2 linked regions of the Neurospora crassa OR74A genome follow. Each later gene encodes a partner of the first gene's protein in a complex. Links are inferred from orthologs where the notes say so. Each region holds a gene or a part of one and is shown on either strand. Other genes may lie near its edges.

Evidence for each region.
Region 2: NCU01772 (region 1) and NCU08030 share a complex: the UniProt entries of both Saccharomyces cerevisiae proteins name them as parts of the RNA polymerase III (Pol III) complex. The link is inferred for Neurospora crassa OR74A from reciprocal best matches to the Saccharomyces cerevisiae genes RET1 and RPB8.

The regions. Positions count from the first base shown.
Region 1 is NC_026502.1:2,490,040-2,494,074, forward strand, and holds the start of NCU01772 (DNA-directed RNA polymerase III polypeptide), read left to right. Parts: upstream 1-1,235; 5' UTR 1,236-1,421; coding exon 1,422-4,035. UniProt on the Saccharomyces cerevisiae protein: DNA-dependent RNA polymerase catalyzes the transcription of DNA into RNA using the four ribonucleoside triphosphates as substrates. Second largest core component of RNA polymerase III which synthesizes small RNAs, such as 5S rRNA and tRNAs.
Region 2 is NC_026504.1:3,966,361-3,969,532, reverse strand, and holds NCU08030 (UDP-glucose 4-epimerase Gal10), read left to right. Parts: upstream 1-1,321; 5' UTR 1,322-1,482; coding exon 1,483-1,829; exon of another isoform or gene 1,830-1,919; coding exon 1,920-2,031; 3' UTR 2,032-2,332; downstream 2,333-3,172. Other genes in the region: NCU08031 (paxneb protein superfamily), read right to left, coding at 1-1,013; NCU08029 (thiamine pyrophosphokinase), read right to left, coding at 2,333-3,172. UniProt on the Saccharomyces cerevisiae protein: DNA-dependent RNA polymerases catalyze the transcription. of DNA into RNA using the four ribonucleoside triphosphates as substrates.

The DNA.
Region 1 (4,035 bases):
AGCCATAGTGACAAAAGGCACAAGACAGTGAGTGACAGGCAGACAGCCGTCAATGTTCAAGGCTGGACACTCTAACCCTCACTTCTGCCCTGTGGAAGATTCAGTACAAGAGAGAAGATCGATTTACATTCTGAGCACTCAAATGTACGATAGCCAGGTGATAGCTATGGTAGACGCTGAGATATGGAATGTCTTGAATGCTCATTGAGACCATGGTAGAGAAAGCGAACGCACAAGTGCAGCGCCCCCGTGTTTAACCTTGATGTGAAATCTCCTCGCCTTTTTTTTTCAATTGCTCCTCTTTCGGATCTTGCCCCACTGCTGGGTTGGGTTCCAGGTCGATTCAAGCAAGGTAGCACCCTGCTGGAGCTGGCCTAGGAAAAGATGGGTACCTACCTACACTATGCTGTAAGACACGGCCAACGGTGATGCGACTCTTTGACGTTTGTATAGTCAGCCAGAAGCATAACCCTTCTCTGATTCTTGAAGCCTGAGCAGGTCACAGCACTTGGGAATAACATCAACCTCCGTTGTATGCGATTAGCAATTCAAAGGCTGCCATATCAACGAACAAAGACCGAAGAAGACCATCAACATGATAACAGGTAGGAGAGAAATAGTGAACGACCCGGCAGGTGATTTCATAACCAGAAGCTCTCCCCTGTTGACTGGTGTGTCGATCGAAGGCCCGGCTTCCGCTTGGCGCGGCTAGATTCAGCAGAACGGATACATAGCTATCTTGAGGTTACCTAGCTGGCCTGACCCCGCTACAAATTGTTCAAATCGCTGTGCTAGTTGAAGTTGGATAGGTAAATACAACCTACCACCAGGAGGCAGATGTGTCGGAGTTGCACAGAGGCGGGGGTTCCTTATCACGAACATCAAAGTGACGGTCCGGAGTCAAAGCAAAAGGAAAGGTTTCAAAGGTACCCGACAGGTGGAGGGCACGGCCAAAAGTGGAACAAGGAACCTACATAGGTATATGTAACTGTCAATCAGGGGTCCAAAACGTGGGCGCTAACAATTTTGGCCTCGGCATACCAGTTAGGTACCACTGCAGTCACTAGCAGTCACCGGTCACCGCACCACAACACTACCTCTAGTGTAGTGCACTACACACACTAACAGTCAAGCACAGACCACTCCCGCCCCGTCGTCCCCCACCGCCCCAGCCGCGGCTTACCTCTACTGACCTAACAAGAAATGGCAGCGGCCAGCCCGTAGAAAAAGTTTATCGCAACTAATCCTTATCAATTTGCCGCGGGGCCAAAAATCACATCGAAATCTACCTACACAACTGCAAGGCGTATCTTCTCAACCAAACACACATTCCCGGTCGTTCCGCGCCCATCATCGCCATCCTCCATTCCTCCGGCCCGATCGATACGACGAACCGTCACCCGCAGTTAGCACATGCAAGGATGGCGGCTCTCGACGATGGCTTTGAGGCCCTGCTGGAGCCGTTCTACAATGGCAAGAAGCTGACCGATCCCATCTCGACCACGCAGGACAAGTTCCATCTTGTCCCGGCCTTCCTCAAGGTCAAGGGCCTCGTCAAGCAACACATCGACTCGTACAACTACTTCGTCAACGAGGAAATCAAGGACATCGTTAGGGCCAACCGCGTCGTCCGCAGCGACCAGGACCCCAACTTTTGGCTCGAGTTCAGAGACATCCGCGTCGGCATGCCCACCCGCACCGAAGATGGCGAACAAGTCCAGTCTCGAAACCCCGTCACCCCCATGGAGTGCCGTCTCCGCGACCTCACCTATGCCGCCCCCGTCGAGGTCGACATCGCCTACACCCGCGACAAGAACGTTATCGTCCGCAAGAACATCCCGCTATGCCGCATTCCCGTCATGCTCAAGAGCGCAAAGTGCTACCTCAACGGCGCCACCAATGCCCAGATGGAGGTCTTCAACGAGTGCCCTCTCGATCCTGGTGGCTACTTCGTTATTGGCGGAACCGAAAAGGTCATCTTGATTCAGGAACAGCTTAGCAAGAACCGTATCATTGTCGAGGCCGACGAGAAGACCGGCGGAGTCATGGCCTCGGTTACCAGTTCCACACACGAGAGAAAGTCAAAGACTTACGTCGTACTCAAGAAGGACCGGATTGTCCTGCAGCACAACACCCTCTCCGAGCCCATTCCCATCGTCATCGTTCTCAAGGCCTTCGGTGGTCTTTCCGACAACGACATCATCGAGCTGGTTTGCGGTGGCGATGCGCGCTACCAGGACGATTTCCTCATCAACTTCGATGAAGCCGGAAGAGCTGGTGTCTACACACAACAACAAGCGTTGGAATACGTTGGTGCTAGAGTCAAGATGGGCGGTAACAGACCCAAATTCGGTGCCGCTCCTCGAAGAAACCATGCTGAAGAAGGTCTCGACGCACTTGCGAACTTAGTTATCGCGCACGTTACTGTTGAGGGTCTCGACTTCTATCCCAAGGCCGTCTACATTGCCATGATGGTTCGCCGCGTGCTGATGGCAGCTCAGAATCCCAAGCTCGTCGATGACAGAGATTTCGTCGGCAACAAGAGATTGGAATTGGCTGGACAGTTGATCTCCCTTCTATTTGAAGACTTGTTCAAAAAGTTCATTTCAGACGTCAAGTACAACATTGACAACTTTTTCAAGAAACCCAACCGTACCTCTACGTATGATCCCCATGGTGCGATCATGGCTAACGGCCATTATATCTCTCACGGTCTTAACCGCGCCATTCAGAGCGGCAACTGGACGGTCAAGCGTTTCAACATGAACAGAGCCGGTATCACCCACGTGCTCAGCCGACTCAGTTATATCGCTGCGCTGGGTATGATGACGCGTATCAGCTCACAGTTCGAAAAAACAAGAAAGGTTTCCGGTCCAAGAGCCCTACAGCCCTCACAGTGGGGTATGCTCTGCACCTCTGATACACCTGAAGGTGAAGCCTGTGGTCTGGTAAAGAATTTGGCACTCATGACACACATTACCACGAATGTGCCGGAGGAACCAGTTAAGAAGATGATTTTTGCTGCTGATGAGAGCGTGGGACCGATCCGAGAATACACCGGAACAGAGATGCACAGCAAAGGCTCGTATATCATCCATTTGAACGGTACACCATTTGCTGTGACCAGGGAGCCAAAGCGGTTTGCCGCCAGGTTCAGAACTTTGCGTCGCCGGGGCTGGGTCTCTCCTTTTGTGAGCATCCACATCAACGAGCACTTCTCGGCGGTTCATATCGCTACCGATGAAGGACGTATTTGCCGCCCGTACATCATCGTCAAGAACGGCAAATCCATGTTGAAGGCAGAGCACCTGAAGATGCTTCAACTCGGGCAAGCGACATTCGACACTTTCCTGACCAGCGGCGTGGTTGAGTATCTCGATGTCAACGAAGAGAACGATACCCTTGTGGCGCTTCAGGAGGATCAGATCACCAACAGCACTACGCACATGGAAATTGAGCCGTTCACGATTCTCGGAGCAGTCGCTGGTCTAATTCCCTTTCCCCATCACAACCAGTCTCCCCGTAATACTTACCAGTGCGCCATGGGTAAACAAGCCATTGGTGCTATTGCCTACAATCAGTTCAACAGAATCGATACCCTTCTTTATACCCTTGTTTATCCCCAACGACCAATGGTCATTACGAAGACGATTCAACTTATCCACTACGACAAGCTCCCGGCAGGACAGAACGCCACCGTCGTTGTCATGTCTTACTCTGGCTACGATATCGAAGATGCGCTTGTTCTGAACAAGGCTTCTCTAGATCGTGGATTCGGCCGCTGCCAAGTGTTCCGCAAGTATACCGCCGAATTGCAAGGCTATACGAATGGGCGCCGCGACAGGGTTGGCGGTATCATGAAGGACGAAGACGACAAGCCCATTGTTAAGCACGCCATCCTCGACGCCGATGGCCTGGCCCAGGTGGGCTCAAAGGTTGAATCCGGACAAACGATGATCAAGAAGGAGACCCCGTTGGACCAGATCTCTACTGGAATCGCTGGCGATCGTGGGTCAGACGATTACCGTGACGCAT
Region 2 (3,172 bases), on another chromosome or scaffold:
CCACCCTTCTCATGATACACAGGCAGTGTGTATACTTTGAACATACCCTGGGGTTGCTCGTTTGCCTTGGGATCCGACCTTGAGGGCGGCGGTGGCGCGGCACCTAGCCTGGCAGGCAAGGGGATGAGCTCGACGACGCCGTCACAAAGAATTTCTATCCACCGGACCAGGCCTGAACTGCGAGGGAATAAGGACGTCGGGAAGGTAATGATTGCTGTGAGCTGGGTGCTGTACAGTCGAAGGAGAGCCCGGAGCCCATGTAGAAACTGTAGAACCTCTGATGGTTGGGCGCATCCAGGAGGATAGAGGGTTGGTGAGAGGAGACTGGGCACCACCAGTCTATGAATGGCGTTTGATCCTGAGCTCTCCAACTTGGCCCGCAATTGCTTGAGAAGCATCTTCAGAGGAGAAGCTGTCCCAACACTTTTCCGGTCTAAGCTCGGGGAACCGCCAACTGAAATCGGGTTCAGAGTACCCTTGGACTCGGAGCTGGCAAGCCTCTTGCTGAGATCAAAGGAGTGACAGAAAGGCGCTCCAGAATCCCCACGAGCAGAAGCTCCTGCATTGGCGTTGTTACCCAAGGACTCATATCTCCACGCAATCTTCATCTTCTCTTCGGGTGCCGGCGCCGGTGATGCACTCTTTGACTTCTTGTCAGGTGAAGCCAGCCCTGGAAGCTGATGCCTCCATTCTGGCGGAAAGGCTACTGCGTGAACCTGATGCCCTTGGACGAGACCCTCGGCAGCATAGTACCGTAGAAGAATTCCAGAGAAGTCGGTGGTCCCTTGCTCCTCAACCAGTAAGCATGTTCCTAAGGGGAGTCCACCGTGTCCTGCAAGAAGTTGGTCCAGGGAAGCAGTGCCAGTTGAAGTGGTCAACCTGCCATCAGTTGGTGATGGTCGAAGACCCGGCGCAAGCTGCGTTTCCTGTTTGGGTTGCTGCTGCTGGGGAGCGGACGGCGTGAGTCCGGCTCTCGGTGAGGATAGGACGGTGTTTCTTTTGACGAAGGACATAGTTCAGTCGGCAAGTTGCAGTCCTTATTTGAGTATCGAATCCAAACTTGATGATGTTGAGGTATGTATTCTTCAAGTCCAAATATAGTCGATTCGATCCCTGGAAGAAATTCCATGGAAGCTTGGACGTCACTGGAGTGCCTGAGAGCCCCGCTGTACTTTTGTCACACACTGGACGGGCGTGACAGGGATTTTCAATGGTGGTTGCCCCACTACTTGCCCCGGCATCCTGGTCCAATTGCCGCAAGGCTGGAATTTTTTGGGACGGCAACTGCATGGCGGCATCTCCATCGCTCAGTCGCATCTCCAAAAGTTTCCCCAAACACCATCATTACTACCGCTCGCGACAATTCGTTTTACCCACCTATCGACACGCGTTTGATACTCGACCAAAATCTGACACTAGTATCCTTCCGAGCAATCAATATCCAACATCGACTGTTTCATCGATTCCACACCAGCATTCACAATGTCCGCCCTCACGTCCGACGCCCAACTCTTCGAGGACGAGTTCAAGGTCGAGAGAATCAGCGATCCCAAGTACGACCGCGTCGACCGTCTGTACTGCACCTCCGTCGATGGCCAGACCAGCATGCAGCTCGATGTCAACAAGGAGCTCTTCCCTGTCAAGGTCGGCGAGTACCTTAGAATTGCATTGGCTACTTCCTTGTCCCTCGACGGTAGCAAGGACGACGAGAGGGGTTGGCGCGATGCTGCCAAGCTCGGTAGCGTTGAGCAGACCCTGGCCGACAGCTATGAGTATGTCTGCCATGGCAAGGTCTACAAGTTTGAGGATGGAAAGGATGGCCAGACCATGTAAGTTGTTGCCTGGGAATTGGGCAGGAGTATCTCGACCTTGGAATTCGGGGAAAATGAGTGGCTGACTGGTTCGGTTGCGAAATTTAGCAAGGCGTATATGTCCTACGGTGGTCTTCTGATGGCCCTCGATGGTCCCTACAAGAAGCTCACGCCCCTGCGTGTCGACTACGTCTACCTCCTCGCCAACAGGAACGCTTGAGAGCTGAAATTTCCGGAGAATAAAAAATTGAAAAAAAGCAAATGTTTCCAGCGGCTAAATAGCATCAGACCGATCAAGAGTCTAGGGCGCGAGCAACATTCATTGGATCTTTGGAGGGCGAACGGGCGTTTAAGGTTATGCGTGGACCAGAAAAGGCATATCCTAGGGAAAAGGGGTCTGGGGAAAGTAATGAATCAACGATACCCGGAAAGCAAGTACCTGTATTTATGCCGCTACCGAGCCAAGGGCTGTCCATCTGCCTTTGGAAGAGCTAGTGCCCTGCGGAAGGTGCTCGATGGATTCAGGCCTGATGAGGACCGGGAAAGGCGATGTGTCGATGAGCCCGGTCACGAAATGCGTCGTAATGCGGCTCGTTTTCAGGCGTGTAAATGCCGTGCCGAACGAAGAAATCGAGCATGACGACGGCACAGTTCGGCTTCCACATTCCCTGGGCGAGCTGTTTCTGGATCTCCTCCACTGTGCACAAGCTGAAGCTCTCGACCTCGCCGTCTTTTGGCTCGGGGACGACACTTCCATCCGCAGGTAGCTCTAGATCATAAATCCATTGGCATTCCGGGTAGATCAACCCCGCCTCGCCTCCCGCGCGCTCGTCCGTGATGTAGATATAAGTGATGGTGCAGACCTCTTTGGCGTTGTTCCTCACGATATGCTCGGACAGTGAAGCCTCTTCGTCCGCCTCACGGATGACGCATTCGAAGGGGTCTTCGTTGGTCATCAAGCCACCCGCTACCGCGTTGTCCAACATGCTCGGATAGGTCGATTTGGTCGCGGACCGCTTGGGAACCCAGATTCTCAAGTCATACTTGCTGCTGGCATCCTGACGTCTGATGAAGGCGTTCATATGCACGCCGTAGCGTGTGGTTCCAAAGAGGCCCATAGCTGCCCGCTCTATGCTGAACACGAGCTCCTTGTTGCGACCATAAACTGGCCACAGCTCGTTTCGCCAGCTCTTGAGGATGGCAAATGCCTCTTGTTCACGCCAAAGCGCAGTGAGCTTTCCGACAAGCCGAGTGCGTTCCTCGTAGGTTTTGTCCGGGGCATCACGGAAGAGCACTACAGTCCTATTAGAGACATCGATGTGCAACCCTAACTGTCCTTTGAGAGTTGCCGGGGCTTTGTT